3 linked regions of the Lytechinus pictus genome follow. The protein of the gene in region 1 purifies or fractionates together with the protein of each later gene. This does not show direct contact. Links are inferred from orthologs where the notes say so. Each region holds a gene or a part of one and is shown on either strand. Other genes may lie near its edges. The genes, in order: selenoprotein S-like, derlin-1-like and derlin-2-like.

What was found.
Region 2: the proteins of selenoprotein S-like (region 1) and derlin-1-like purify together in Homo sapiens (affinity purification with western blotting; 6 studies listed by BioGRID and IntAct, with this or other methods). This does not show direct contact. The link is inferred for Lytechinus pictus from reciprocal best matches to the Homo sapiens genes SELENOS and DERL1.
Region 3: the proteins of selenoprotein S-like (region 1) and derlin-2-like purify together in Homo sapiens (affinity purification with western blotting; 3 studies listed by BioGRID and IntAct, with this or other methods). This does not show direct contact. The link is inferred for Lytechinus pictus from reciprocal best matches to the Homo sapiens genes SELENOS and DERL2.

What each region holds. Positions count from the first base shown.
Region 1 is NC_087252.1:1,384,835-1,395,851, reverse strand, and holds the start of selenoprotein S-like, read left to right. Parts: upstream 1-5,866; 5' UTR 5,867-6,017; coding exon 6,018-6,099; intron 6,100-11,017. UniProt on the Homo sapiens protein: Involved in the degradation process of misfolded endoplasmic reticulum (ER) luminal proteins. Participates in the transfer of misfolded proteins from the ER to the cytosol, where they are destroyed by the proteasome in a ubiquitin-dependent manner.
Region 2 is NC_087246.1:25,969,936-25,981,248, reverse strand, and holds the start of derlin-1-like, read right to left. Parts: upstream 5,296-11,313; 5' UTR 5,202-5,295; coding exon of another isoform or gene 5,125-5,201; 5' UTR 4,794-5,124; coding exon 4,635-4,793; intron 4,029-4,634; coding exon 3,917-4,028; intron 3,303-3,916; coding exon 3,238-3,302; intron 2,324-3,237; coding exon 2,297-2,323; intron 1,802-2,296; coding exon 1,653-1,801; intron 1,157-1,652; coding exon 1,046-1,156; intron 415-1,045; coding exon 270-414; 3' UTR 1-269. Other genes in the region: TBC1 domain family member 31-like, read left to right, coding at 5,125-5,201, 9,338-9,493. UniProt on the Homo sapiens protein: Functional component of endoplasmic reticulum-associated degradation (ERAD) for misfolded lumenal proteins. Forms homotetramers which encircle a large channel traversing the endoplasmic reticulum (ER) membrane.
Region 3 is NC_087246.1:9,526,660-9,537,529, forward strand, and holds the start of derlin-2-like, read right to left. Parts: upstream 4,107-10,870; 5' UTR 3,687-4,106; intron 1,901-3,686; exon of another isoform or gene 1,764-1,900; intron 780-1,763; 5' UTR 754-779; coding exon 667-753; intron 1-666.

The sequences.
Region 1 (11,017 bases):
GTCCTACAATGAGCATTAGTGGAAGTAAACTCTAATTGCGGTTTTTGTTATTTCATTTTTCATTTTCTTCGCACAACATGAGATGGTCTCTTAAAAAGCAATGTCCTTTTAATTATTGCACACCTTGTACTTCTCATATTCAATGTACACTTCATTATTTTAATTTCAGTGTTGGAGACTAGTGTTAAAAGTTGGTATTGATAATGGTATTAGGGAAAAGCAATTACTGTACATAACACCAGACTTGGAATACTTTGGGTGTTTTTATTACCATAACTCAGTGTTTAGCTGTCAATACATGAGTGGTGCGGTTTTCTAAATGCAAACTGGGTGTGAAGGAAATGCAAACACCACACATAACACCAAACTTGGAATAATTTGGGTGTTTATATTACCATTACTCAGTGTTGAGCTGTCAATACATGAGTGGTGCGGTTTTCTAAATGCAAACTGGGTGTGAAGGAAATGCAAACACCACACATAACACCAAACTTGGAATAATTTGGGTGTTTATATTACCATTACTCGGTGTTGAGCTGTTAATACACGAGTGGTGCCATTTTGCTGAACACAAAGTGGGTGTGAAGGAAATGCAAACACCATTCATAACACCAATCTTGGACTGATCACGGTGTTTATATCACTCAGTGTTGAGCTGTTGATTAACATGAATGGTGTCATTTTTTTTGTCAAACACAATTTTGGTTGAGATTTCATGCACCTCCCTTATTTTGTGTTCGTGGCACCAACACCAAACTTAAAATCAGTATTTTCTGGTTTGAACACTCTTCTCCATTGAATGCCTATGTCATAAACCTGTTAACTTGTCTGTGTACATTTTGAACAAACATTATCCATAATCTACGAGCATGCCAGTGCTTGCCAATATAGCAACCATTTTATGCAAATTGGATTCTGACAGAAAATGCTTACATTTATCCACTTTAAACAATGTGACAGTTTTATCCATAAACCATTGGTAAGGTTCACTATTACCTCGTTGGAACAGGATTATATTGAATATCGACCTTATTTTACATGGATAATTGGTGAAGATGGTATATGTTTAAAAACACCCTATACAGGGAGATAGATATTTAAAAAAAAAATAGTCTTGTAAGGATACCTCTATTCAGACAAAGGTGATAATTCCAATGTTTGCAATATAATTCCAGTCGTACAAAACCATCTTATTTTTGTGTGCGAAAGGGCTTACATTATTTTCTTACCTTTTCATCAATTTAAATTGGCAAGCATGTCTAGCAAACAGATTGATTGTAGCAAGTTGCAATCAAACCAACTTGAAACCAGTCACAACTGTGTGTTTAACCTATCAGATGCATGTATTTCTGATCCACAAATGATTTTATGGATTATTGTTAATTAATGCCACTCTTTGGTTCAATATGCACATGTGTTCTTTTCTGCACTACCTGTTGAACTTTGTTTTATCATGTGATAGGTCCTGCCCCCTCCAATAAATATGAATTATTGACTTTGAACTTAATACCAAATATAAACAAATTTGATAATCTCATAGAAAGTTAGAAGTATTTTTTAATTGATTTTAATAGAATTGAAAACTAGCCAAGATATTATGTACATGGTCATATACAGTGGGTACTCAAATTACCAAAGAACAGCATGTGAATTTGAAAAAAAAAAATAGTATAAATAATTGAATGAATAATGCTTTATTTACCTTTGTGTACTGTAAAGATTTACTTAAATGTAGTAATTTCCATCTTTTGCCTTTATTAAGGGTTGAAGATATGCTGTGTACATTGTACTCTTTTCCCCTCTTATACTACATGTAGTTTCATCCCCATTCACCTTAAAAGGCAAACTGAATTCCAATGAGTCCTATCATAGGCCCATGTGCATTACCCTTTTATCATAACATCTGGACATATATTATGAATTATAAGGTTAGGATTGTAATTTTATTGGAAAAGAGATGTGTTTGTGGCCATGCTGTAAACATATTTGTTTCAGTGGTGAATACTGTGTCAGGTTTGTTTTACAGAGTATCAGAAAATTATTTGCCATTGAAATGGGCTTGTAATAAGGGAAAACCGCTCTCTCTTTTTTACCCCCTTTACAGCAAAAATTGTTTTTGCATGTTGCTTTTGAACCATTATATCCCCTCCCACTGCCCTGCCCCACCCTACCCCACCCCCTAATGATAAGAATATATACCAGGATCGTATTCATAACCTATTAAAGCGTAATCATTATGTTGATCTAGAACCAGGAGTTCAATTCATATATCTGTTCTGAATCTAGCAATGAACATCTGTTGAGCATTTCATGAAAGTCAGGCATTTTATCCGACAGTTACCATGGTAACATTGCTCCTCAGCCAATCGAAATCAAGGAAAGTTGTCAGAAGGAAAATGTTGATGAAATGCCGATGTCCTAATTGAAAAATACCTAAATTGATGTTTTTTTTTCAAATAATACTGGAAAGATAAACCTTTGAAATTATTGCTCTCCTTTTCACTGAAACTGGATGCCTTTCTTAAAATGATTCTAAAAAGAAAAAAAAATGGTTTCTGCTTTGGATTGTGTACCATTATTCCTTTGTAAACCATAGGCAATGAACTTGTATTTCTTCATTTTGAAATTGATAATAATTACATAAATGATAATATCATATAATATTTCTTCTTGTCAGGGGTATATCTTTATTTTATCCTATTTATATGGGAAAGTGTGATGGAAATTTTGGTGCCATAACATTGTATAGTAGTGATCTTATTGTCAGGGGAAATTGTAGTTGTTAAAGATGTCTCAGTTTGAAAATGAACTTTTAAAAGGCAATGCTCTATTTATCAATTCCGTATGTGTAGTCCTATGTATGTCATTCATTCATTCAACACTGTCAGGGCTAAGTATCACACAACATAGATTAATCATAATCTTGATTATAGTGATTATTATATGTAATCAATTATGATAATCAATCTTGTGATCAATAGCTATTGTTTGTAGTACAGGCCCTGATCAATATCACTTGTTATTGCACTTGGAAGTCGGTCTTTACACTTCTTCATGTCGGTGCAAGAAGGCCCTTAGCAAAAACATTTTCGCTCACCGTATCGGTGCAGAAATGCCCTTATGCAATGCACTAAAGCATGCTGCTAAGGGTGTTTCTGTGCGCATACGATGCGCGATAGTGTTAATGGCATTCTTGCGCTGACACAACTTCTGAATATGGTAGCATGTAGCGGTTTCATGTTTTCATGGGGAATTCTTTTATGAGAATCACATTGTGATTACTGGTGTATAAAATATATTGAAGAATGAACCCCAAACTCATGAAAAACTTTGTTCCATCACTGTGTGTGTTTGCCCAGTGAATTAGTATTTATGCACTTGTGCTTTAGTAGTCCCTGATTATACGAATGATTTCATCTTTCCTCTTCCTAAAATGTCAATTTCCAGTGATTTATGAAGGTAAATGTATGTTTTTAATTGTGTTTGAGTACTGTGTGAAGTCTTCTATATAAAACTAGATAACTTATCGTATTATGAGACATGTCTGTTCCACAATTGCCGCGTCTGGTCGAAAATGCAAAATTGTTCTTTTTTTTTCAAGATAGCCAAATATTGATAATGCATTATTTATAAGGCGTAAAATGGATATATATTTGTTATTGAATTCTCTAGATCACAAATGCTGAAATAAAAAAAAAATATTTGTATATATAAATATCTATATGAAAATGCATTACTGTGAGTCTTGTATTGTGGTGTATCATGTGTTTTGTTGTATACAGTATATATGGTGTTGCACTGTGCACTTAAAGCAAACCCAAACCCAAGAAGGGAAGAAATCTTATTCGAAAGAGTAAAATGAGAGGAGCAATTTAAAACAAGTTTCATCAAAATCGGTTATGAAATAGGCAAGTTATGGACGTTTAAAAAGTCTTGTTGTACTTCCTATGGGTATCCTCAAACTGGCAAACATGCTTCAAAATTGCTTTTGTGGACAACCCTCCATTTGTTTTGTACACAAATTTTCAGATTTTCCCCCATTATTTTACATATTTCACAACAATTCCTCCTGACCTTGACATATGTGGAGTGAATTATATTTTCCCATGACATATATTATGCTCAGAATAAGGCAATATGCAATTTTTAAGATAATGGGGAAAATCTGAAAAATTGTGTACAAAACAAATGGAGAGTTGTCCACAAAATCAGCCATTTTGAAGCATGTTTGCCAATTTGAGGATCCCCATAGAAAGTAAAACAAGACCTTTCAAACGTCCATAACTTCCTTATTTCACAACCGATTTTGATAAGACTTGTTTGGATTTTTTCCTCTCATTTTACTCTTTCCAATAAGTTTGCTTCTCTTGGGTTTTGGTTTCCTTTAAGGTCAAATCCACCCCCCCCCCCTCCCCAGCAAAAAGCTGATATGAATGAATACAGGAGAGTCGAACATAACACTGAAAAATCCATTTTAATCTGAAGTAGAAAAAGAGCTTAATGAAATTTCATTTGTTTCCTCAAGACGTGTGATCTGTGGGAGATGATGTTACGTACCCACTGTTTAATCTATTTCTTTTCTCCCCTTTTTCCTTATAATTTCCCATTTTCTGTTTGTATTCTTTTTCTTCATTTTTTCTCAGTTTTCTCCCTCAATACCTCTTCAGTTTCAGCGATGTGATTTACTTTATGACTCTCTTGCTCTGTCCGTCTCTCTCTGACAATCCTTTGCACAAGAGAACATACACTTTGTAACTTATCCAAGTGTCTTTGAATGTGTACTTTAGATTGCACATCACATACCTAAATTGTTCTGTCCATTAAACAGGGGGGGGGGCATGTTATTGTCACATTGCACCATTTAACAATCTATTATTCAATGTTTTGGAAAAAAAATGAATGTGAGCACAAGCAATGTGATGGGCAAAAAAGAGAATAAATGGGGATGATAGTGAGTGATTATCTTGAGAAAATAGCTCAGATTAAGCGAGGAAGAGAGAGAGAGAAAGAGAAGAGTGGGGGAGATGAAGAGAGGAGGGGGAGAGAGAGGAGGACAAGGGGGTGGAGGAGGAGAAAAGGAGAAAAAATGACGCTCCAATATGATCAATCAAATTTTGTTAATTTGTAGTATGTGGCTTTTAATTGTCCACTCCATGATTGAAAAATAGGCTGAAGAAATTCGGGGGGGGGGGGTGGGGGGATTCAACCCCCACTATTCCAATAAATGTGTACAAAACATAAAATAAACCCTCCCCCTCCCTTTTGGCTTAACCCATACTTTTAAACCATTCAAAGGCCTCTGTGAATAAATCAAATTTATATGAGCAAGCTCAAAGAGAGTTGAATCCCATCTCTATACAGTCAACCTGCTCTTGCCCCCCCCCCCCCCCCCCCCGTGCAGTCAAGACTACCTGTCTCAAGAACTTCTAGTTTTGTTTCACTTGAATAATTACCCATAAGCATATACATAGAAAACAAAAGACCATTTTCCTTGCTTGCCATACCCCCATGGCTGTAAGCAGAACTTTTCTCCGGGGGGAGGGGACGCATTAACAACTTTGAAGAAAAAAAAAAAATTAATATGCGGGGTAGCAAAGAATTGGGGCACTTTTGCATTTTTAAAGAGAGTTAAAATAATTGAAGGATATTGTCATTGTATTACCCTTTTTGGTGAATTTTGTGGAAATTTTCAGTCAAAATTGTAAGTTTTCAAAATGTCTGGGGTGGGGTAACTGTCCACAGCCCCCTTTGTTGCGACCGACCCCCGCCTCTATATATATAGCCCCCATCATCATGATCATCATGAAATAAAAGCACAAGGGCTGCACAATGACCGAATCCCGGTACCGAGGTTGTGGTTCAGTTTCCACACGTCATGTAAACAACATTCGAGATTGTTGATTGCATGATCAGCTAGCTCACATATTATATGCGTGCATGCTAGCAGTGTTGCTGTGAGTCGAGTGAGTCGAGTCGAGTCTGCCATGCAAAGGACCTGAGGCTGAGACTGAGCCAACATGTCGGAGATTTTTGAAGATCGTGAGCTGACAGAAGATGGGAACACGACACCAGAGAGTGTCTCATATGGACTGTCAACAGGTAATATGTAGGAATAGGAATATTTAGCCATGTTTAGCCTGTTTTGACTAATTTTCATAAGTTTAACACGAACATGACGAACACAATCACATTCACACTCACACTCACAGAACAAACAGCAGAACACCATGAACACTGTGCACTGAACACGAACAATGAATCATGACGTTCATGAATTTCCATGTTGCCTTTTTTGGGGGGGTCATGACATGTTGAGAAATCAAAATTTCCAGTATGATTTCCAGACCCATGCCCCCTGCATGCCCATTTCCATTGTATTTGACCTGAATTTGTTAGAAAGATGAAGTTAGTTTCAAAATGTACATGTAGCATTGTATTTGTAGCCTTGTAGGCTAAAAATACAGGAGCAAGAGCGAGCGTGAGATCATACCTTGTTCATTGAATGAGTGGCGTAAGACTGAGTCTGAGAATTGAGGAGAAAGGTGAAGGTAAATCCGAGTTCGGCAAAGGCATGGCCATGGGGGGGGGGGGAGAAGATCTTTTGTCTTGTGTAAGTTGTGTTGTAAATAATGGCATTATCGTGGTTTAAGTCACCACTCCTTTCACTGCCGTTTGTTTCGTCAGCGGCGGTGACTTCTGTCGAAGCTTTCTTCACTGACACACACATGAGAAGAGAGGTGACTTATTTCAGGATAAGGCCTAACCCAGGGAGCTCAAAAAAACGAAAAGTTCTCTCCTTCTACCCCAGTTACGTTGGCTCCACTGTCCAATGTCAGAAATTGTTGAGGAAATCCCCAGAAACAACGGTTATCCCTGTCTATAGACATACATGCAGGCCATATTCATGCAATCGCTGCCGCAATATACTTCTTTTAATGAGCATGTTTTTTGCTCAGCTGTTTCTTAAAATAAATGCAGCTAGATTGGGAAAGATCGAGAAAGAAAGATGATAGGAGGAAGATAAGGTGGAGAAGAAGAGAAGTAGGAAGAGGATCAGGAGGATCTTGAATCAGGAAGGAATAATGAAAAGTATAGTAGATCTAGATCTACATGTACTAACTAAGAGAAGGACTCTGGATTTGTCAAGGCATATTATGGGGACAAAGAAAAAAGAAGAGTAGAGGCAGGATTATATTTTGTTTTGGGGGACACAACAATAGATGTCCCCCCCAAAAAAAAAAGATGATCCTCTTTGCTGACACCCATGACTAGATCTAGAGGGTCAACAGATTGAAGGAGCAAGAAGAAGAGGAGAGGCAGCTGAGGAAGAGAAAGAAGAAAATATAACTTTAGGGAAACGGGCAGCGTAGCTCAGTCGGTTAGAACGCATGTTTCGGATAACATCGTAGATCTCAACGTGAGGGGTTCGAGTCCCGCTCATGCCGAAACGCGTCTAACAAAAAATCTGAAGCTACATGTATAGCATTAGGTGTAAGCGTGCCTCACCACTGTATTCAGTGCAGGTGTGAATGCAGTTGGAAAACACTCCATCCATCAGATAGGACGCAAATGTTGGTCCCGTGTATAGGAGAGTCACAACCTATGCACGTTAAAACCAATACACTATTCATCAAAGAGTAGGGTGTTCACCCTGCCGGTCCTGGTAAAATTCAGGTCAAGTCAATCTTGACGTTCATATGCCAAGGCTCCACATTAACTTTTTTTGGTGGTGGCCCGTTCGGGCCACCAAAACCATCAAATAATTTTTTTTGGTGGCCCGATATTAAAGTTTGGTGGCCCGAAAAATATAAAGAAAAACATTAAAAATGAATAAAACAAACTTCTGAAATATTAATTCTGCAGCCACTACCACTGACTAAGTTCCTTTCACTTTATACATCTTGTATGTAAACCTTGTTTGCGGTTATTTTACTTTGCTAATTGATAATTGTTTCTATCGTTGTAAAAATGAAATGATTGAAAGTGAATAAATGAATTGTATTGTTCGCAGGTTGTGTGGACTTTTTTAAAAATCTCTGTATAGAGATAATGGTAAAGTAAATAAATAGTGCATAGCAAACTCAGTTAGATGTACAAAACAATGGTTTTTCCTTCCTTCCTCTTTGAATCCTAAAACCTAGATTATGCATGCCCCAAATCCAGTTTATTTCTGTTTTCTCTTTTGCAGCATATAGAAGGAGAAAATCACAGAAAAATATGCTGCAAAATTAGAACAATGCATAAAAGGGAGAAACAAACGAAAATAATTTTCAAAAAGTATATAACAAAAAGAAAACAAAAATAATAAAAGGAATTAGTGAAATAAAACAAAAGAAAGAAAATGAAGAAAGAAAAAAACAAAGAACAGGGAAAAAAAGAAAAAAAGAAAAGAAAAAAAATTAGAGAGAAAAAAGAAAAGAAAATTAAAGAAAAATTAATAAAACAAAGTTAATATAAAAATGGGGAAAAGGGGAAAATTAAGAAGCCATTACATATATTTTTAACAGCTGTGGCAACAGTCTATTCTGACTGGAATATAATTAAAAGCCAAGCATATAATTTTCACTTACCTCTTGGGAATGGCACATTTCTATTTTTATATCCTTTAGTTTGTATTATTTTATTTTCAGTAGAAACATATTTTTTAATCAGGCATATTCAATGGGAAGGGGTATAAATGGTTTAACCACTGTCAAAAAAAATGAAAGAAAAAAAAAGAAAACGGCAAAAACTATATTGGAAAAAAAGTGTGAGAAAAGTCCTTCCCTATATTTGCCAAAATGTTGGGAAAAAAATCACATTTCATATCAATGAAATGCCTTCCCAAAGTATTTACTTTCTCAAGAGTGGTTTAAGAAGTCATTTATAAACAAGAAAGAAAGAAACTGTCTGTTTGTTTAAGGCTAGAAAATACACAGCTTCGAAAGAAACCAAGTATCAACATACATACAAATGCACACGTGGGACTGTGATGTACTTGCCTATGTGTTTTTATGTGTATTAATTCATGTGGAAATCGGTCTTTTTGAGTCAAAAGAGAGGTCATAATTCCTCTTCTTAATACTTGCAAATAATCAGGGTACACCATATTTTCGTAATATAGACTGTAGAATTTCATTTCATTGGTGTAAAAGGTGACTTTGACTTAGATTTTCAAAGTTCTGTGGAAGATTTCTCAGCAGCAACATTTTTTATCGCAGCTCCCTGAGTCTGAATAGGCTGAGCTAGATCTAGAGCACAGCTGTATGCAGTGGCTTCATGCAAAGCTCACGCCAGCCGGCTGGCGCGGCTGGCTGGATAATAGCTACTGTATGCTATAGCTGTAGGCCTAATATGCAAACTGTGTGTGTGTGTATTTGTGTGTAGATCAACAAAAAAGGCGCATGACGAACTGGCTTGCAATTTGAGCTGTAGAAAGTTGATAAATGCGTGCAAAATTGGGAGAAAAATTGTGCTACTTTGAAAATTATTGGTTGCCCGATTCGGGCCACCAAAACTTAACATTTTATCAATAATGGTTGCCCGAGGTGAATTTTTGGTGGCCCCGGGCCACCGGGCCACCGCTAATGTCGAGCCTTGCATATGCCATAGTGGGCATTAACGGAAAGACAAGAGAAGAAGGATAAAAAGGAAAAAAAGGATACTCAAACTGAGAGGAGAGGTGTATTGGAACAAATTAGAGCAAAAAGATGAAGAAGATTCCATTCTTGAATTTTTTTTGGAAAAAGCTCTGTACAAGCTAAACTGGGATGGGAAAATTATGGGAGAAAGATTTACAAAGAGTTGATTATTGCATAGAATTGCCCTACTTCTCCCCCCCCCAAAAAAAAAAAAATTGATAGATTATCCCTTATTTTTTTATTTTTTTGCACTGGGTTATCTTGAAATTCATAATACTAACAATAATTGTACTTGCGTATATAGTGCTTAATACTTTATCAGAAGTCTGTAAAGTGTTCTGCAGTAATGCGGGTTGTTGCGGACTCATGTGTAATAATAATAATAATGATTTATATACCTCAAATTTTCAAAATTGCCTCTAAGCCACGTACGTGCATAGCGCCAACTTAATGTGTTCCGCCATCTTGCTTGTTGGTTGCCGATAAAATGCGCATTTTCAGATTTTTTTACACTCAGTCATTAGCCGTGACTGAAACATTGACCAATCAAAAACTAAGATTCTACAAGAAATATGAATATTCATATACGAAAGTATAAACATAGATAATTCAGTTTTATGTGAAATTTAAACCCAATACTTCAAAATAGGGTAAGTTTTATGTCTCTAAAATGACCCTTAAAACCAGAATTTTATTCTTAAAAAATAAGGATTTTTCCAAGTTGCCATGGTAACGCAGCCTGAGATAAAATATCTTAGCAAATACTTCATTTCAGTGATTGAGGATGCATTTGTTCACGGTATAAGTCTACATAAGTTATAAACAAAATTTCCAGACCATGGATGAACTTTCAAAAAGAGAAATTTTAGGCAAGTTTTTACGATTTTCTGCAATTTTCTGACACACAGGCACTTTGAAGACGTAATTTTTACAGAATTAGAAGAAGACATTGTGGATTTTCCTAATTATCACGACGGATATGCAACTTACTTGTAAACAAATCAAACAAAGTCTATGATACATTTTAGATAATGCGAAAAGAGACATTCAAGTCTCTGATTGAGAGCCGTAGATTGAACATTCGCACGGCGCAATGGTAACGTTTTCGCTGAATTCGTCGGGGCGAAAACTCCAAGCGAGCCGTACCACTCACCAGTCCCGAACGCTGCGCTGTATGTCTGATGATATATCTGGTGCCATTTCGTGCTTATAAATTTGTTTTTTCTACAATGCCACTATCTCATTAAAATTGTTTGTCATGATAACATTGGAAATATTATCGTTTAATGGCCCAAATGATCGACTGTAATAAAAGATACTTTGAAATATTGTCAGAGAGTGATTAGTTAGGTGATGTTTATGGTCAGAATTTAGTCATGGCTTCGGGTGAACTTACG
Region 2 (11,313 bases), on another chromosome or scaffold:
GTTTAAACTGAACAAAGGTCTGTCTTATCAGACAGTTACCATGGTAATAATCAGACACATGTGCTTCACAGCCAATAAATACCAAAGAAAGTTGCCTCCTCAGACAACACATGTTGATGAAACAAACTCTCCCATGGATCAGATTCTGAGAAATCAGATAAAGACTATCTTTAACCTGTTTCATACCAAACTTTCGTTATTATTAATCAACATTATCTTGAGGCAAAATATTTTGAAAGCATTCACATTACAATTACAATGAAAGTACTTTAGTTGCCACCCCCTAAGACATGGCCCTGGCCCCAGTTATGACGTCCCTGTCCTTGTCCTCTGTCATCAGGTCGATCTCTCCTGAAAGCTGGTGCCTGGCCGAATCCACTTACTCCTCCACGACGGTTTGGAAAATATTTGTATCTATAAAAAAAACATGCATAAAAAGGAGAGATAGAATCACTAAAATTGTTGTAAAGCAAATGTATACCAAAATAACCACTTTAGTAGATTTAGTACTTTTCCACTGAAAAAAAAATTGAATCAGTTGACCTTTTTTTAAGAAAGTGAAACACAATGATATGGCCCAGGGAATATATAAAATGGGGTAGGGGGGAACAAGATTACTCTTTTATTAAACCAATCAGAAAATTCACAAAGCTCATTTTCTACTTAAATAATAGGGTCACTTTGGACATTTTTTTAGGGGGTGGATTCCCCATAAGTTTAAACCTGATACAGTCATCTACAAATTTCTTGTGCATAACCTATATCTTTAAAGAAAATACAATAACTATAGATTTGTTAAATTCGACATTCCTTAGTTTTTTTAATCTGCAGATACAGCTATCAGAATTCTTCAGTGAATTCTGGCCTGTTTGAATGTCATAAATAACCTTGTTGCTGTCCTTAATTTCTCCCTCCACAAAAAACCACCACCACCTAACAATATCTCTAGACAGTTTTAATTTTAATAAGAGAATATGCAATTCAAGAAGCACACAAAACTCATCTCTGCAAGTGTGGGTAACAAATGAGAGGTTTCATTACTTACAAGATTTGAGGAGTAGAGAGAAAAGCGGTTCCACCAAAGTCTTGAGGATACTTGAACATGAGAAAGAAGTAAAGATGACCAACCACAATACCAATCAGCTCAGCTAGTCCACTGTAGGAAGGACAAAAATTTCTTACAGTCATATTTGAAGAAAAAAAATATTTGATAAAGCTGGGATGGAAATACATAGCAAAACTTGAAAATATAATATAAAATAATCAGACATTAACAATGATAGCCTATTTAATTGATATGGAGACACAAGACATGTACAAAACATCTCTGAAAATTTGATTGATAATAATGAGGATTATTGCACATTCAGTTTGAAATTCAAGGAATTATTCAGAAAGGTGTCTCCCCATTTACAATCATGTTGTTCATGATAAGTGCAAGGATTTGTAATGACAATATGCTTGCAAAATTACTGTGTGGAAAGGCTTCGACTTTTAGTAAGGTGCATTAGTATCATATATGCTTTTTGATAGGTTCCTCATTATTTTACTTTGTAATACAGTGAATGTGATTATTGTCATTATGTTCTTATTTGCTCAAGATGTATGTTTTTGTGGAATGTGAAACAATAAATCAAATTAAATCATCTTACCCTCCTCTGAGGATCCAATTGAAAGCAACAAGAACCCAGGGAAGATACATAGCCTTGAATCTAGTACCAAACCAGAATGAAACTATCGAATCACGGTTGAGCTGACACCACACATAGAGGACGCTAAGAATCATCGGCTCCATTAGCATCTAAAAGTATGAGAAAGAAGCATGAAATTAGCAGAAATAGATCCCTACCGTACCTGTAAGGCTGATCACAAACAAAATTGTCACACACTCTCACTTCAAACAAGGGTTTGCTCAGTGTAAAAATAGTAACAGCAGTCAATGGTAATATTTTCAGTTCACCATTTAAAAGCTTACTACTTGAATTTTTATTTCTTGTATAGAATGAAATACAATGCAATTTCCAATGGATTTTGGGAGAACATTTGAGTATATTCAATGGAAATGATATGTTAAGGATTTGATTGAGAATCTGAGAACATTCTGAAAATTTGTAAATATCACTATTGGATAAAAATCAAAGAAAATTATGAAGATTAAAGAAATCAACATAGGCTTTTTAACAAATTTATATTTTTTTCAAAGACAATGGATTCTGAAATGATATTCATTTATAAAACAAAATATATCATGTTCCATGTAAATGATAAAACATACAAAGAGAAAATATTGACTTACCAATAAAGGTGCTATAAACCCAATGATCTAGTCAAATAAATGATGGTTAAGAAAGAATAATTAACAACAAGATCACTATAGTATTTAAAGTCTTTTCCCCTTTTCATTCCGTGTACTGCGAGTGAATTCACTTTCATCTTTCACATAAAATTAAATGTGAACTTTTGTGAAGAAATGCCGAATGTGGGTCAATTATAAAGTAAAGAATGCTCAATACAAGTCTACAGTGGTGCGAGAAAGTTAGTGAACCCCAACACAAAATGCACTCCTTCATGCTGAATGTTGACAACAACACTACAATGGTTGGCCTGCCCAGAGAAACTAACTTTATTGAATGTAATATCTTATCATCTGACTTCAAAATTTAATATCTAAAACATGGCAGAATTTGAACATGTTCATTTTCTGGTGGGGTTTACAAACTTTTTGGCACCACTGCCACACTCACAGTAAGCTAAATTGACGCCTGTTGTCATGGTTAAGTACGCTATTTTATTCATGAGTCCAATGTTTTGAATCGATGAGTCCACTCTTCATAACAGTGGAATCATGAATAAATTGGCGTACTTAACCAGGGCAAAAGGCGTTGAATTGTTGCACTGTGACAAAAGTGCACATCAGCATTGGACATCTTGTTAATATATGAGGTAAATAAGCCTAATTTATACAGGAAATCTACAAAAACCATGGGTTCAACGGATGGTTTTCAAAACCACCTTGTAAATTCGGGCCTTAGTGTCTAAGAAATCTTTAAAATTTTACCACCGAATAATCTTTCTAAAAACTATTGCTTAAAATTCCAGATACCTACATAAACCACACTACAAAGAATTTTCATATTGAATTGTAAAATGCAAGAATACAATATTAATTCTATTTCTAATACATTTTGCGAAAAATAGAGAGTATCATGCCATTGTCGGTAGCATAGAAAAGGATACAACAAGGCAAATCCAGTTGAATATTAACATGAAAACATAGTCTGCTGGTCGGCCATCAAAAATGCCTGAATTGAAAAAAAGAGAAAAGATTGAGAAGGCTTTAATAGGTCAACATGTGAATGTCTAGAACAAATAAAATGTTCAATGTAGGCCTGAAGGTTAAAATAAGAAACAGGCCTGAAATTATGATATTATAAATAATATGGCAAGGCCACTTCCTATTTTTTTAAGGGAATATTTTACAAATACATTAGTACAGTAGTCAGTACAAATTATCGGAAAATATTATACATGTTAGGGTATTTAGGCCAATATCATAAGGGCATCGATCCCAGGCCATTGCCTTGGATCAATTTGAGCCCTGTTTACATCCTGGATAAAAAAAATGAATTTGAAAGGATGACAAATTTCAAATCATTTACAATGCAGATTCGTAAATTATGCACGAAATGGTTATATCTGTATTTTTCCACACATCATACATTTGTTGTTTTTAACATCTTCATATTTTATCATTTAGCTTCTGCTTTATACTTGACTATATTAAGGAAACATTCAAACCATGTCTAACATTTTCAAGCATTTATATGCCAAGATATTTAATAATGAAGAAATGCTTGGTCCTTGGAAACTGATCAAAAGTGCAACAACAATCTTATTCTGGCGTTATTTGACAAACCTGATTCTAATCTTGTTGAGTAGCTGTATAAAAAGTAAAGCTGAATTAGGTAGTGAAATCCAGTCATTGGAGTGATTGGAAAGAAGAAAACTGCTGTTATTGGCCTCCATATCTATACCAGAAACATGAAAGAAATAAAGAGATATTAATGAGTCACTCTTCTTGGGAAAAAAAGGTTATCGGTGGTAATCACCCACTCATAATATTTCAGAATAAACATTCACCTGCAATACCTCGACAAATATCATTGAAATCCGAGTCAAAATGGTGGGAAAATCTGAGTCAAAACGGTGGGAAAATAAATGAATTTCAGAAATTCACACATACATGTAGGGTCTGGCCTCATAAAAAAAAAATGCAGCCTTTCTCATCAATCCGTGAATTTGCAAAGCTAAAGTTAACTGGGTGCGCACTTCAAGAAAATGATATTTCTCTAATTGTCTCAATCTTTTTTGTGAACTTTTTGGCACACTTACTCAAAAGAATATAAGGAAAATTATCAAATTAAAATCTTATGGAATCATTAGACCCTTTCATTGAAATTTGTGCACACATGCATTGTCGATGCGACAGCGACAGTGCAGGGATTCATACTTTTTAACTGTTTTAATTAAATGTTGTTACCTCAAAACCCATTTGTACACCCCCGGCCCAGCACACACACAAACACAACTAAAATACTGGGGGACGTGTCCACAGAAAATTAACACCATCTTACTTGAAATCTGTAGAAAACCAGTTCAAAGCTCAGGATTAATAATTTCATGCTAACCAGCCCAAATCGGGCTATGAGTGGGACTACAATAGAACCAGTGAACCAATAACGAGTTATTTGCGGAATTCCGCGATACCAGTCCCCTATATCACTTTGAGACATTATTGGAGAGTACTCTGGCGATCTAAAAATGAAGTATCACTATCAGTCTTGAAAATCCTACTGCAAAGTGCCAGAGAAATGTCTGTCATTTATTCCAAATCGATGCCAGTCAAGATTGTATTTCCCAAGCAATTCGACGTGTACTTAATATTGATTCGCTGCTCCTCTAAAATTATCAATCGATGCAGATGTTACGTTTTATATATATGCTGGAGTTATCAATTATGATATACCGAGGATCAGCGAACGCGCTAACTTCAAATGTAGTAGACTAGACTAGCATCAACTTCGTTGGAACAATATTTAAAACAAAGGAGACATTCTAGACAATATGCAACATCTCGATCTAGATAGAAGAGGCTCAGGGAAAATATGGCATCGAAAACCCAATCCATCAAGTGACAATGGGTAAGATTTTTGCGCAAACTGATGGTAGTTGAACGCGATCGCGATAAGATTCTACTCCACTCGACTAGCGACTCGACTCAAACAAGTCTCACGGACAGCTCAGCAAGGAGCTCCACCCACGCCCCCGAAGCTTCGGCGGCGCTTGCGCTCAAGATTCTGGACCCGGTGTCGTGGTGGGGAAAGGGGCGGTGCGGTGATTATTAATATGACAGACACAGTCACAGACAGTCTCAAACACACAGCCAGGAATTAGACAGAGTTTAAGATATATTTTGTTGAAATTATAATTTTGGAAACTAGAAACTACTGGTACATGTAGTCTCACTCACACAAGCATGCGAGGACGAGGTTAGTTGTACTAGTATTACTAATATTACTAACCTCGCACAACGCATGTCATTTCATTATGAATTTTGACGTTTTCATTCATCACACGAATGTGAGAGAATGAAACACGCCAAAATCTTCACAATATACTAAATTTATTCATCTAAATCTTATCATTTAATTTAATTTTAAAATGGTGCTCGAACGTATTTATAAAAAGGGATTTTAAACGCTTACCTCCAAATCTATGCCAAGACACTCCGTCCGATCCTTAATACTGCGGTGGAAATTACACAAACAACCATCGAAACGCGAATTTTTCCTATCGAACAGTCTAGATTCAAGTCGTCGGCGCGTAATAGGAAATTGTACCAAAAAATCAACAGGTTGCATCTCACGTATAATCGCTGATGGCGCTACATCATAAAATAACGCTGAACAGCGAAAAAAATTGCGGAGCGCCAAGAACGCAACCAGCAGTACAGCTGATCTGACGTAAACGACGTAAACAAGCAAGTTTATTAAATAATATCGCGCGCCCTCTCTGTGCGTATAGAGAAAACCAGGGGTGGTATTCTGAAAACGTTCTTATCTTTGTTCTTATCTTTTATCTTATCTCATTGAGATAAGAAGACGTTAAAATCATTGCAAATCGGTATTCTGAAAATCTTCTTAACGCGTTCTTATCTCTGTAAGGACTGCCTCCTTCTTATCTTCAACACACCCATTTTTAGGATATTACCAATCAAAATGCGCTTTATATTGTCAGTTTAACCAATAGAAGCGTTCCTTATGTCAAGAGAATAACATGGGCACTGCGCGTACACTGTTTCTGGCGCATTGCGCGAAATAGGCATTTTATACGCAATGACTGATTATTATTTCGAGACACGTGCACAATAACGATAGAAAGAAAGAAAGAAAGAAAGAAAGAAAGAAAGAAAGAAAGAAAGAAAGAAAGAAAGAAAGAAAGAAAGAAAGAAAGAAAGAAAGAAAGAAAGAAAGAAAGAAAGAAAGAAAGAAAGAAAGAAAGAAAGAAAGAAAGAAAGAAAGAAAGAAAGAAAGAAAGAAAGAAAGAAAGAAAGAAAGAAAGAAAGAAAGAAAGAAAGAAAGAAAGAAAGAAAGAAAAAGAAAGAAAGAAAGAAAGAAAGAAAGGGAGGGAGGAAGGATGGAAGAAAGAAAGTAAGTAAAGAAAAAAAAGTAAATAAAGCAGGTACGAATAAAGAATAAAACAGGAAGAAAGAAAGTAAGTAGATAAGAAAGGAGACAGAAAAGGGTCAGAACAAAGTAGAAAAAAATGAAAGAATAAACGAAAGAAAGCAAGCAAAAAGAACTTAAATGAAGAAAAGGAAAGAAAGAAACTTAAAGAAAAAAAAAGGACAAAAAGAGATTAAAATGATAAAATGAAGGAATAAAGAACTGAAAAAAAAAACAGAAAAAACGAGTGAAAGAAAAAAAGAAAGAGAAAAAGAAGGAATACAAAAATGTAAAAGGTGAAGAAAGAGAGAAAAAGGAAAATGAAACAATGAAAGAGAAATAAAAGCAAAAATAAAGACTAAAGAAAGAAATCGAAAGAAAGGTTAATTCAAAGAAAGAAAGACAAATAACGAAAAGGGAAAATAAAAAAGGAAGAAAGATGAATAATAAATTAAGCAAAGTAAAATAAACATAAGGAAGAGATTAAAAAATTCAAAAGAATAAAGCAAAAGATATAAATGAAGAATGAAAGAAAGGAAGATAGACAGATAGAAAGGGAGAAAAAATGAAAATAGATAAAGAAAGACAAAAGGATAGAAAAAAAGGTGAAAAACAAAATAAAGGGTGGATGAAAGAAATGATGGAAAGAATACATGTTATTACCAGTGGTCATCTTTTTTTAGCAAGAAAGAACGCGAACATCGTGAGATGTGATAACCCTCTAGCTATCTTAAATATTATCATAGATATCGTAAAAGATAAGAAAGATAAAAGATAAGAACGTTTTCAGAATACCACTTATCTTTATTTTGTTCTTATCTTTTTAGCGCGCTTTTGTATTATGCGCGTGTACTAAATTTACGCGCTCAGCATAGGATGGAAAGCAAGATAAGATAAGATAAGAACAAAAGATAAGAAAAAGATAAGAACGTTTTCAGAATACCAATTTGAGAACGTGACGTAGATAAGAACAAAATTAAGATAAGAACGTTTTCAGAATACCGCCCCAGCAAATTAGCTCCATGCCTGCTTCGACATCAAGAAAATCATTGATATACATGTAAAGTACCAGAAAGACAGAGAGGAAATGAAATTGGCTTCATATCGTTTGGTACTGAAAGTTTCATATCCAAAGCTTACTTGATTTAAAATGTAGATATTTTTCTAATTTTTACAAAAGAGGAATAAACTTATTGCAAGTGCCGTGCCAGTGGTTATCCTGTGCACGGCGGCGGTAATGTACCCGTGGGTGATGTAGTCTAGTCTATCAAGAATATGAAGAAAAATTCTCTTGACTTTGAAAGATTGTTTTCAGTTGATGCCAAACTAGAACATTAATATCTTCAAGTTCAAGTAAGACTAGATGCCGAGTTCTGGCTGGACCAAGCAAAATTATAATTAGACAGCTGGCAGCCGTCTCTTTCGAGGAGTTTTTTAACATTTTAATATTTTTTTTAATTTCTCCTCGTACACCGCTATCGTGCACTCAAGGGTTCATTACATGCCGCCGCACACAGAAAAATCAAGCCATAGATGTCGTGTGTTGTGGACACCAGAAGTGGGGTCGCAGCACGCGCGGCCCACTAGTTAGAAATCCACTGCCAAATGCGGTACATGGTGCGAGGTAATAGTATAGTAATACTAACCTCGCAATACGTGTGAGTGGCTATCGTGCAGCCACCATTAGGGGGTTAACAATGCAAAATCCACCGACGGGGCTCATCGATTTTTGTCTTTATTTCATAAAAATATATAAAAAGAACTGTACCAAAATAAAGATTATTTATAAAGTTTATTTTTCCAAAATAAAGATTAATATTCCGTTTTGGCCTGAAATGCACCAAAACGGAATATTAATCTTTATTTTGGAAAAATAAACTTAAAAGGAGAAAAAACAGTGACTTATTTCGGCTGTCGCGCAACTTCACTTCCCTGTTTTATCCAAACTTAATACATAAACATATGGCCATTGAGTCCCTGTATAGATGGAGCTAGAACTTCGGTCTCTGTATTTGGTGAGTGGAGCCAACGGAGTTCAGCGGAACAACCAACATAACAGAGACCTAAGCTTTTGGTCTAAATTATAATATGACTTATTAGTTCATTCTCACTTAATAAATACAATTTATACATTTTATACCAATGGATAAGCCAAGATTAAGTTATTGAATCATTCATGTTTCAGTTATTTATGATTTTGTGGTCCTTTTCTTGACGTGAAAAAAAAATTATATCAGCCTTTAACCAAAATTTACCAGGCAGGTTTTGAACTCTTGCTATATCTTTGATGCCCAACAAATCCATCTTAATGTTGATCAATTTTTTTTTAGTTGAAAACAGTAACACCTAAACATAATTAAGTTTAATATCAATGATTTGATAACTTATTCTTAGCTTATTTATTGTTATACCGTACAGTCACTATACCTATATTTTTTTAAGGAAGTATTATTTTATTTTTTTTGCTTGGCAAAAATTGGTATAGCCTATTCTTGTCTCACATGTAGACATTCATTTTAGTAGATCTACATGTACATGTAGCGGGGGTATGCACTGTTTGCTGAAAGGCCCGAATTTGAAATAAGAATGTCTTGATTGTGTTTATTTGTTAGGTTGATGGTTCAGATTGGCAAGGAATCTTCTGCAGCACTCAAGTTTCAAGGTCATGCCATCCGTTTCTTGCAGGCTGGGTTTGATGCCAGTGGAGATAGGTTCATAGCTGGAGATCATCAAGGAAATATATATGTCTTTGATCTCCATAGAAACAGGTAATTAAAGGTCAAGTCCACCCCAAGAAAATGCTGACTTGAAAAAATAGAGAAAAATCAAACTTGCATAGTGCTGAAAATTTCATCGAAAATCGGATGTAAAATAAGAAAGTTATGAAATTTTAAAGTTTCGCTTATTTTTCACAAAAGAGTGATATGCACAACTAGGTGAGTCAGTCGATGATGTCCATCACTCACTATTTCTTTTGTTTTTTATTGTTTGAATTATACAATATTTCATTTTTTTTTAGATTTGACAATATGGACCAACTTGACTGAACCATATATTATTAAACAATGTTATTCCACATGTTCAGGGAGGAATTAATCGTTGTATCCCTTGACAATGAGGAGAAAATTAGAATATTTCATATAATAAAATACAACGAAATAGTGAGTGGATGACGTCATAGTCTCCTCGTTTGCATACCGGCCAGGATGTGCATATAACTTTTGTGAAATTAAGCATAACTTTAAAATGTCATAACTTTCTTATTTTACATCCGATTTTGATGAAATTTTCAGTGTTGTGTTTGTTGGATTTTTTTTAATCCAAATCATTTTTTGTTGGGGTGGAATTGTCCTTTAAATGAATAGTCTTATGTGACATGCTATTGTCAGATTTAATAAATTTCTGTTTAAATGTTAACATTTCAAGTAGAGGGGTCAGATATTTATAGTATACATTAGTCCAGATTGGATGTTGATGTATGGAAGCTTTCTTTCCCATTTCGCAAAGCTGGCACATAGGGTCACCTGACTCCCAGTCTCTATTCAATCCGGTACCAAACCCTCATCTCCCCTCCTTACTGGGTTTGAGGATTGGGAGTCAAAGACGCCCTCTATGTCAGCTTTAGGAAAGAGAGCTTCCATACATCAGTATGCAATCTGGTCTAAGTAGTGAGTATACGTAAAACAAGTTGTTCACTCATGATATCAGGTGATTACTGTAAGCGTTTTTTCTTTTTATTGAGACAGTCTACATTGTACATAACAGCTTTAGTCCACTCTTCATTCCTTGTCTGTTTTCCTCACCGCATAGGGACGCCTATGGGCAGGGATATGCATTATACAAGCACCATCATATTCATTGTGTTTTTATTTTGACTATTTGAGATTGATTATCCTTTTTTTAAGTTTTAATACTGTCATTTAAGTTGTCAATTGACGAATACTCACAGGGCCAAGTTCACATCTTCATTAGATGAAAGGGAGAAAAGGAAGTTATACAGATTAGAAATCAACTAAGGGGGACACCGTGTAGACCCAGCAGAAATCTCTGACATCAGAGAACATTTTCACATCATCCATGTCGATAAGCAAATTATAGCTCTATAAGTTGGTCTTTTACCATATTTCATCCATTAATGAATACTTTGTTGTGCTGGGTGATGGTGATATTTTGATATTATCAAAATCCTACGATATTGTAAAGATATTGAATATTTGATAATAGTTTTGTGATTATGTTGATATAGCGCAGTATTAAACACGATGTGACCCAAATTCTGTTGACTATGAAATTAATGCTTAATCCCTGGCAACTTATCATGCTTATTGACAATAAATACTGCTCTGTAGTCTGTATTGTTTTGAAACAACTCAGAACCTCATAAGTTGGTACCCAAATGTTAGTTTATCATGGACAAGCGGGAGGAGAGTCCTGCGGGTCACAGTTCTGTGTGCGCGCCCTTCTAGGCGACCCAGATTCGCTGGCTCCTACAAAAATGCGCCTTTGAATGTCTTTGACAGATATATGGCGCTATACAAATGCTGTGCATCATCATTATCATCATCAAGCTTCAATGAAAGCCCTATTT
Region 3 (10,870 bases), on another chromosome or scaffold:
GCGCAGCGGGCGGGAGCTCCCTGGGTTAGGCAAGCACATGCTAAACACTGCAAATAGGTTTGATAGACAGATTTTTCAGTTTTGCCACTAGTGACAAATAAAATAAATCAAAACAAAAAATAATTTGATTTTGCTTTGACTTTTTTCCCCTAGAAATGTGTGATCCAGTTTTATGTTTGCCTGAAAAATGGTGTCTGGTATGAAATTTCATGTTTGTCCTTTATTCCAAAAATTTTCAGTTTTAAGTATATTGCAGAAAATGAGGGATTCTAATTTTTGTTTGACAAGTGCAATGTAATATGATGAAATAGGATACCAAAGAATACATTCAATTTAAAATTGAAACTGGTACTCATCTCCCCTCCTCCCCCCACCCCCCCAAAAAAAAAAAAAATACATAAGGGCTTGGGGTGATTTTGCCAATGAAAATGCTCAAGTGAGAGCCCTGAAAAATAGAAAAGAGCCCTGAAAAATCCCTATTCACTGTAATGTTAAAGCTTAAATGTTGCTGATTTAGATAGTAGGTTGTGAAAAGTAGCCCCAAAAAACTAAAAAAATTATATATTTTTTTTGGCCTGCTCCTCCCCCCCCCCCCCAAATAAGAATAAAGGGAAAATCAATAATGAATCAGAATTTCTAAACAAAGTTATGTATATGAATACGTACCACAGCTAATGTTGTGAGTACACATGATGTACAATATAGTCTTGTAATAGGAGGAGTCTGCATGTACTCCTGTTGAACGGTTTGCATTGCGATGTGTTTTTCTTAACCTTTACCTGAAAACAAACAGAAGAATTTAGATACAGATTTCACTAATTCAAAGTTAAGGAAATGATACAGGTACCTCTGCTTGAAAATAACTCTCTAACATTGTGAAGAAAAATAATGACGGTAAGAAAAGTAAATATCTATGGTCCCTGAAAGAAAGGAGATTAAATGATTAGAGACAATTAAAACATGGGTTATTTACAAAAAAATTACAAACACTGATTGTTATCTCTTCTAACAGGGCCTAAATCTACACAAGATAGTCTTACTGTCGAGGCCTCGAATATTTCATTCCATTATGTCACGTCACAAGAACATATTTTCGTCCATCACTGTTTATTGGACGCATTTTGTGTTTTTAATCTTTTGGATCCATCTCTCACATTTCAAAAGCAGAATTAAATGTCTCCTTATTATCATGAAAATTTGATTAAGGAGAAGTGGATGACACAAATTTTGCATGATGAAGATTTTGTCTTCCAAGAATAAGGGCGATTCCATTTGACATATGACATTATCCAAAAATTTATATTGGCTCTATTTTAAATCTGGATCAAAACTTTCTTTTATAACTCATATGGAAGTTCATAAATACAGAGGGTGATCATAATTAGCCCCCAAAAACAAAAAAAATCTTACACATCTTTCTTATAGGAGAATCTAAACTATCAAAATCTGAACTATCGAGATCTGATGCAAGTTATGCGAAACGATCCCGAACTATATAGTCCCATCATGAATTTTCTTGAATTGAGCTGCGATTTCCCCGCATGCGCAACTGCGATGTTTTAAAATCGGCAGTGAATTAATACGTGTGAGGAAACTGTTACTGGCTCTAAATCAACGATTTTGAGACTGATAGAAGCGTGGAAAAGTGAAACTTTGTGAAATGTAGGAATATTAGTTTTTATTGTTTTTAAAGGTTGTGTTGTTGCACGAGTTTCACGTTTTATACACATTAAATCACACCTTTGTCACTCGGAGTTTTGTACCTTGATGTTCGGGTAGGTGTAGCCTAGTGTAGCGGTAGTGAAGTGGAGCCTACCCTACACGAACATCACTGTGTCTGTGCACTAACACTCAACAGGCATGGCAACACCACTCACCAGACTTAAAGGGATACTCCAGGCTGAAAATTATATGATTTAAACAGATAGAGAAAAATGAGACAAACAAAACACTGAAAATTTGACCAAAACCGGACAAGGAATACCAAAGTTATGGCATTTTAAAGATTTACATTATTCTGGTGAAACAGTTCTCGGCATGTCATCATGAATATTCAATGAGCAAATTGATGATGTCATATCCCCACTTGTTCTTTTGTATTTTATTATATGAAATTAGGTTTATTAAAAACAAATTTACCAAGAACTTAAAAAAATTGGACAACTGATTTAGTGCATTAGATATTCATTGCTGCAACTATTTCATTATAAAGGAGACACATTATTCACACGTATGAAAAAATGAAACAATTATGATTTCATGTAATGACATAAGGAAAAGGGAAAGTGGGGATGTGACATCATCAGCCCACCTAATGAATATTCATGATGATGTGCATATAACTATTTTCACAAATTAATGGTTTACTTAAAAATTCAATAACTTTAAAGTCTTTATAATTTGTTATCTGATTTTGATGAAATTTTCAGCATTTTGCTCTGTGAATTTTACTCTATTTATTTATGGTGGTGTGTACTTAATTCGCAGTTTACCTGATTTTGTGCAGTCGAATATCTAATTAACATCTTGAAAAAGTGATATCACCAACAGAAAAAGCGACCCAAAATTACTCAGTATGATAATATTCTTGAAGGTCTCAAATTGTAAAGACATTGGCAAAACATTGGCGAATTTTGTTACTTTTAGCGTACGCTCCGAGAAAATCTAAACTTTTTGGCAAGCATCAAGAAATCGTCAGTTTGCAAGGAGAGGTCTCCAAATAAGTAAAATGTGATACCAACCAAATTTATGGCATTTTAACCTCCATCTGATATAATTATCTTACCTTTGTCTGCTTGATTACTTTTTTAAAGCTTTGCAAAACGATCGTGTGCAAATTAAGGTCACACTTTTTATGACACTTTTTCAGCCAAGTGCGCACTAGTCGATCGCCATGGAGTTTTGAGATCGCGATACGAGTGCAAACCTTGACCTACTTTATAATTCCATCAAGCGAATTTGACTTTGCCTTTGGGATCTTGCCTTCCATCTGGTATTTATGATTTTGATTAATTTTGTGTGAACTGTAATTTTTAGATTGAAAACCAACTTTTTTTTCAAAATGTGCCAAATCATGGTCAGCCACATCATGACATAGAGTCCAGATTATATCTAGATCTGGATCCAACGTTAGATATTCTCAGCCCAGACCATCCCAATTACTAAAAAGTAATTGAAGCAAAGTTAGACTCATTATTTGATTCGTGTCTCTCTTTCATAATACTCGGCTCAGGTCTAGTCTAGCTACGTCTAAGGCTAAGCTCAGTCTCAACTCAACTCAGTCACAGGCACACATAGACCAAAAGCTTCGGTCTCTGTTATGTTGGTTGTTCAGCTGAACTCCGTTGGCTTCACTCTAAAAAAAAAAAAAAGTTTAAAAACTCCTCGAAACGGACGGCTGCCAGCTGTCTAAGGCACACAGTGACTGTCTTGTCATGGTTGCCTAACTAACTGATGAAGTATGGAAGTTGATTGAACTTCATTCAACTGTTCATGAATCAACTGAGTGGAGAATCGACTCTGAAACTGATAGTGATACGGTGAACATGGACTGGAGTCTTGGACCATGGTGAAAAACTGAAACAAAAAGCAAAACAATTAGCCTATGTTGTTAATCGCAGTCATATTCATAGTTAATGTTGAAAGACGAAACAGAGCTCTACATTAATAACGTTAGATCAACTTACAATTTTAAACTGGACTACTACTGGCACTGGCTTGAATTTGGAGTTTTGTTTAAACTCTAAACTAGGCCTAAATAAAATTCAGTCGGCGTAGCTAGCTTGTTAACACAGCACAGAAGTAGGCTAGGCCTTAAGTCTCGTACACACACGTCAGCTTTACGCAGCTGATCCAAATCGGTGAAGTAAGCAATTCAATTAATCACCTTGCTCGAAAGTGATAAGTGTCCGTCTGAGCACATTTAATGATTAATGATACTTCACTTACGGTACATAGTTACAAAATTTAAGAAATCGAATAAAAAATAAATAAATACAAATTAAAAAAAAAAAGGCTGACAAAAGTTTCTTATATATTTTTTTGAAGAATACAAGCACGGAACATTTTTTTCCCTTTAGTGAATACTTGCAGGTACAATAAATGACAGAGCACGTTCAGATACGGAAGACCTCCACGGAAATTCCGTGATAGTCCAGGATAGAAGGGGTCGAACCTTGTTTTTTTATATATACAATGTTTTTTTATGGTTTCTTGTCAATTCGAGGGTGCTGATTCCGAATCTGAATGATGCCACTCGTGTAACCTTGAGCATTTTCTGCAAATTGGCAAAATCCAATATGGCCGCCAAAATATTCAAATTACCCATGAAAATTATAAAATTGTCCACACATTGGCTTTAAAGTACATGCAATTGTGCTGCCGGAGTGAAATAATATCTGAAAAAATGATTTGTGTCAAAATATTTATTTTCTTGATATCAAAATGGCCGCCATCATAGACCCCTGTACAATATGAATGAGGAAAATTAATTTTTACAAAATTGAGCACTGAAATGCAAGTAATTATGATCTATGAGTGAAGCAATGTCTGTAAACATGATTGCTAACGATATATATCATTTGTTATGTCAGTTATGTGATAAATCCTGTATTTTGATATTCAAAATGGCCTTCAAAAGCCCTAACACTATTATGTACAATGGTGACACAAAAAAATCACAAGAGTGAGCACTAAAATGCATTTTGTTGAGATAAACGAGTGGAATACTGACTAAAAACATTTTTGTTAACGAAATTTATCATTTAACATGCCATGTATGTGATAAACCCTGTATTCTGATATTTAATATGACCGCCAAAGGCCCTAAAATTATGATCTACGATGTGAGAGAGGACAAAAACAATCACAAGGTGAGCACTAAAACGTATTTTTTGTGGTAAATTAGTGGAATACTGTCTTCAAATATAATTTGCAACGAAATATATTATTCGGGTTTCATATTTGTGTTAAATATTGTATTTTGACTTTCAAAATGGCCGCTAAAAGACATTGACTGTATTATGTACAATCGATCTGGGAAACCAATTTTCACATGAGTCAGCACCATAACATGCATATAATTGTGATTTAAGAGTAAAATATTGTCTGAAAACATAATTCCTAACAAGATATATCATTCATTCTGCCAGGTAGGTGATAAATAATGTATTTTGAAAGTCAAAATGGCCGCTACAGGCCCTAACAGTAGGCCTATTATGTACTTTGTGAATGGGAACATATAATTTTAACAGAATTTGGCTTTGCTTGACTAAATGGTGTTGCATGTATGAGTGAAATATCGTCTGAAAATATGATTTTGTAACCAAATAGATCATTTCTTATGTTATTTAGGTGATAAATGCTATATTTAAATGTCAAAATGGCTGCAATATGTTTCTTTGTGGAAATTATCTTTCCCCAATCAAATTTTACATATTAAGATAAGGGACTACGGCGGCCATTTTTCATTTTTAAAAGGCTGCATTCATCACCTTTATGACACAAGCTATGATATATTTCGTTAGAAATCATTGGGTTTAGACAATACTTAAAGATAAATTCCAGTTTTGGTAACGATCTAAAAATGACTTTTTACAGAATCTAATATAATGACCACCTAAGTGTCTGTTTGTATGAATAAAAAATATGTGCCAAAGGATTCTGGAAGAAATTGTGTGATTGCTGAGAAATAAGCAAAATAAGCGCGGATTCGGTCACTTCCGTCGGGTCTTTATTTTAGCAATAATAATACACTGTCCCACGTGTGCCTATCTGTGTTGGTGATCTTCAGTGTGAACATTTTTCAGCGTAGATTTCAAGATTTCAAAAAGTTCAGTTTATGTAACTGTACCAGATCTAGATCCTCGATGATATACTGACAATTAAGCCTTGTTTTTACAGACTTTCTCATGAAATCAGTGTTTACTGCAAATACTGGAATTTCTCTTTAACACTTACATCAAAATTAAGCCATTTTCATAGTAAAAATTTTGTCAAAATTATCTGTCCCCAGTTACAATGTACATACTACTTTGGGCTATGGCAGCAATTTTGAATTTCAAAGTAAGGCCTTTATTACCTTCTCAACCATTATGTGATGTATTTAGTCAGAAATCATGTTCAAGACCAAATTTTACCGATACATCACATAGTTACGTGCGTTTTTGGTTCTCATTCTGGTGATGATTAGTTTCCCTATACGCATGTTACAGAATTTGTAGGGGCTTGTGCGGCCGTTTTGAAAGTCAAAATACAGTATTTATCACCTATGGGAGAGGAAATGTTATATTTCATTAAAAAAATCACGTTTTCAAACAATATTTTCCTTATACAACATAATTATATGGATTTCATAGTCAGGCAAATCCTAATTCTTTCAAAAGTATTTGTCCCCATTTACATTGTAGATAATACTGTAAGGGCCCATAGGGGCCATTTTGAATTTTACAATACAGCATTCATCTCATGCATGAAAAATGAAATGATATGTTTCGCCAGAAATCATGTGTTTAGACAATATTTCACTCGTATAGATTACAATTGCATTCATTTTATTGTTTTTACTCTTGTGAAAATTAGTTTCTTCATTCGCTTTGTTCATAATACAGATAGGGCCTATGGCAGCCATTTTGAATGTCAACATGCAGCATAATTACCGAAATTGCAAGGGAAATGATATGTTTCGTTAGAAATCCTTGTTGTCAGACGGTGTTACACCAATATTTCGCAGTTATTGGCATTTTAAAGTCAAACAAATTCAAAGGTTGTGAAAATTATATGTCCCCTTTTATATATTGTACACAGTATAAGGGGTCTATGACAGCCATTTTGAATATCATAATACAGCATTTATCACATTAGATAGTATACAAATGACATAGTTTTGTTAATAGTCATGTTTTCAGACAGTAGTCCACTCGCAGGTCACAATCACATGCAATAATAGTGCTCTTGTTTGAAAAAATATTTTGCCCATTCATATTCTACATAATAAAGTATACAGGGGTTATGGCGGCCATTTTGAATATCAATAAAATAAATATTTTGTCAAATATCGCTTTTCCAATTGGTATTTCACTTCTGCACAACAACTACATGCATTTTATAGCTAATGTGTTGGCAATTTTATGATTTTCATGGGTAATTTGCATATTTTGGCGGCCATATTGGATTTTGCCAATTTGCGGAAAATGCTCAAGGTTACAAGAGTGGCATCATTCAGATTCGGAATCAGCACCCTCGAATTGACAAGAAACCATAAAAAAACATTGTATATCTAAAAAAACAAGGTTCGACCCCTTGTCTATGGGGCCTATCCTGGACTATGAAGACCTCGAGTGACCCCTCAGTATTCCTTTAATGGGCAATATAGCTTATAATGAGCCAGAAGTTTTAATTAAGAGGGCAGATATGGCAGATGGGCAATTAAAAAAAGAGTTGGTACCTTCTTAATACATACATATAATTTTGCGATAGATTTTGGTATAATATTTAGAAAATAATATCATTAAAAAAAGCATATTTCACCCCCGGATTTCTGACCCCCTTTTTCTTGTCTTTTTTTCAACCCTGTTCCACAATTTGGGATTGTGAAAAAAAACGGGGTCCATGGCCCAAAGTCACACCAGATTCCTATTGATCGAAGGAAATCTTAAGAATATTGGAGATCCTCAGAGTGGACAGATTCACTTCTAATGTTTTATTTAAAGACCTAGTGGGCCAATAATTCGAACGAAAATCAGACTTATGTAGGCCTCAGTACAGTTTAATGATCCATTAAGGTCCTACTTTTCTTACGATTTATGAGCCTACGCATGAAATAAATAAATAAATAAAAATATACAAAAAAATAAACAACCAAATTAAACACTGAAAAAGCACCCTCCTCTTTAACATACTCCTGTGAAGAAATCAAAGTTTATTCATATAGGCCACCGATATAGTCCAGGATAGAAGGGGTCGAACCTTGTTTTTTTTATATATACAATGTTTTTTTATGGTTTCTTGTCAATTCGAGGGTGCTGATTCCGAATCTGAATGATGCCACTCGTGTAACCTTGAGCATTTTCTGCAAATTGGCAAAATCCAATATGGCCGCCAAAATATTCAAATTACCCATGAAAATCATAAAATTGTCCACACATTGGCTTTAAAGTACATGCAATTATGCTGCCGGAGTGAAATAATATCTGAAAAAATGAATTTTGTCAAAATATTTATTTTCTTGATATCAAAATGGCCGCCATCATAGACCCCTGTACAATATGAATGGGGAAAATTAATTTTTACAAAATTGAGCACAGAAATGCAAGTAATTATGATCTATGAGTGAAGCAATGTCTGTAAACATGATTGCTAACGATATATATCATTTGTTATGTCAGTTATGTGATAAATCCTGTATTTTGATATTCAAAATGGCCTTCAAAAGCCCTAACACTATTATGTACAATGTGAATGGTGACACACAAAAAATCACAAGAGTGAGCACTAAAATGCATTTTGTTGAGATAAACGAGTGGAATACTGACTAAAAACATAATTGTTAACGAAATTTATTAATTACATACATGCCATGTATGTGATAAACCCTGTATTTTGATATTTAATATGACCGCCAAAGGCCCTAAAATTATGATCTACGATGTGAGAGAGGACAAAAGCAATCACAAGGTGAGCACTAAAACGTATTTTTTTGTGGTAAATTAGTGGAATACTGTCTTCAAATATAATTTGCAACGAAATATATTATTCGGGTTTCATATTTGTGTTAAATATTGTATTTTGACTTTCAAAATGGCCGCCAAAAACATTGACTGTATTATGTACAATCGATCTGGGAAACCAATTTTCACATGATTCAGCACCATAACATGCATACAATTGTGATTTAAGAATAAAATATTGTCTGAAAACATAATTCCTAACAAGATATATCATTCATTCTGCCAGGTAGGTGATAAATAATGTATTTTGAAAGTCAAAATGGCCGCTACAGGCCCTAACGGTAGGCCTATTATGTACTTTGTGAATGGAAACATATAATTTTAACAGAATTTGGCTTTGCTTGACTAAATGGTGTTGCATGTATGAGTGAAATATCGTCTGAAAATATGATTTTGTAACCAAATAGATAATTTCTTATGTTATTTAGGTGATAAATGCTATATTTAAATTTCAAAATGGCTGCAATATGTTTCTTTGTGGAAATTATCTTTCCCCATTCAAATTTTACATATTAAGATAAGGGACTATGGCGGCCATTTTTCATTTTAAAAGGCTGCATTCATCACCTTTATGACACAAGCTATGATATATTTCGTTAGAAATCATTGGGTTTAGACAATACTTAACACTTACATCAAAATTCAGCCATTTTCATAGTAAAAATTTTGTCAAAATTATCTGTCCCCAGTTACAATGTACATACTACTTTGGGCTATGGCAGCAATTTTGAATTTCAAAGTAAGTCCTTTATTACCTTCTCAACCATTATGTGATGTATTTAGTCAGAAATCATGTTCAAGACCAAATTTTACCTATACATCACATAGTTACGTGCGCTTTTGGTTCTCATTCTGGTGATGATTAGTTTCCCTATACGCATGTTACAGAATTTATAAGGGCTTGTGCGGCCGTTTTGAAAGTCAAAATACAGTATTTATCACCTATGGGAGAGGAAATGTTATATTTCATAAAAAAATCACGTTTTCAAACAATATTTTCCTTATACAACAGAATTATATGGATTTCATAGTCAGGCAAATCCTAATTCTTTCAAAAGTATTTGTCCCCATTTACATTGTAGATAATACTGTAAGGGCCCATAGGGGCCATTTTGAATTTTACAATACAGCATTTATCTCATGCATGAAAAATGAAATGATATGTTTCGCCAGAAATCATGTGTTTAGACAATATTTCACTCGTATAGATTACAATTACATTCATTTATTGTTTTTACTCTTGTGAAAATTAGTTTCTTCATTCGCTTTGTTCATAATAGAGATAGGGCCTATGGCAGCCATTTTGAATGTCAACATGCAGCATTATTACCGAAATTGCAAGGGAAATGATATGTTTCGTTAAAAATCCTTGTTGTCAGACAGTGTTACACCAATATTTCGCAGTTATTGGCATTTTAAAGTCAAACAAATTCAAAGGTTGTGAAAATTATTTGTCCCCTTTTATATATTGTACACAGTATAAGGGGTCTATGACAGCCATTTTGAATATCATAATACAGCATTTATCACATTAGATAGTATACAAATGACATAGTTTTGTTAATAGTCATGTTTTCAGACAGTAGTCCACTCGCAGGTCACAATCACATGCAATAATAGTGCTCTTGTTTGAAAAAATATTTTCCCCATTCATATTCTACATAATAAAGTATACAGGGGTTATGGCGGCCATTTTGAATATCAATAAAATAAATATTTTGTCAAATATCGCTTTTCCAATTGGTATTTCACTTCTGCACAACAACTACATGCATTTTATTGCTAATGTGTTGGCAATTTTATGATTTTCATGGGTAATTTGCATATTTTGGCGGCCATATTGGATTTTGCCAATTTGCGGAAAATGCTCAAGGTTACAAGAGTGGCATCATTCAGATTCGGAATCAGCACCCTCGAATTGACAAGAAACCATAAAAAAACATTGTATATCTAAAAAAACAAGGTTCGACCCCTTGTCTATGGGGCCTATCCTGGACTAATATGGGTCTACAGGCTACAGATCCTCTGGTGCATATATGTTTACCAATGTGACATTGCATGAACGGGGGTTGTGCACCATGAATCTTGATGTCCCCTTTGCCAAACCATGCTTGTCCAGTATGATTTTAATAGAAATTGATTGC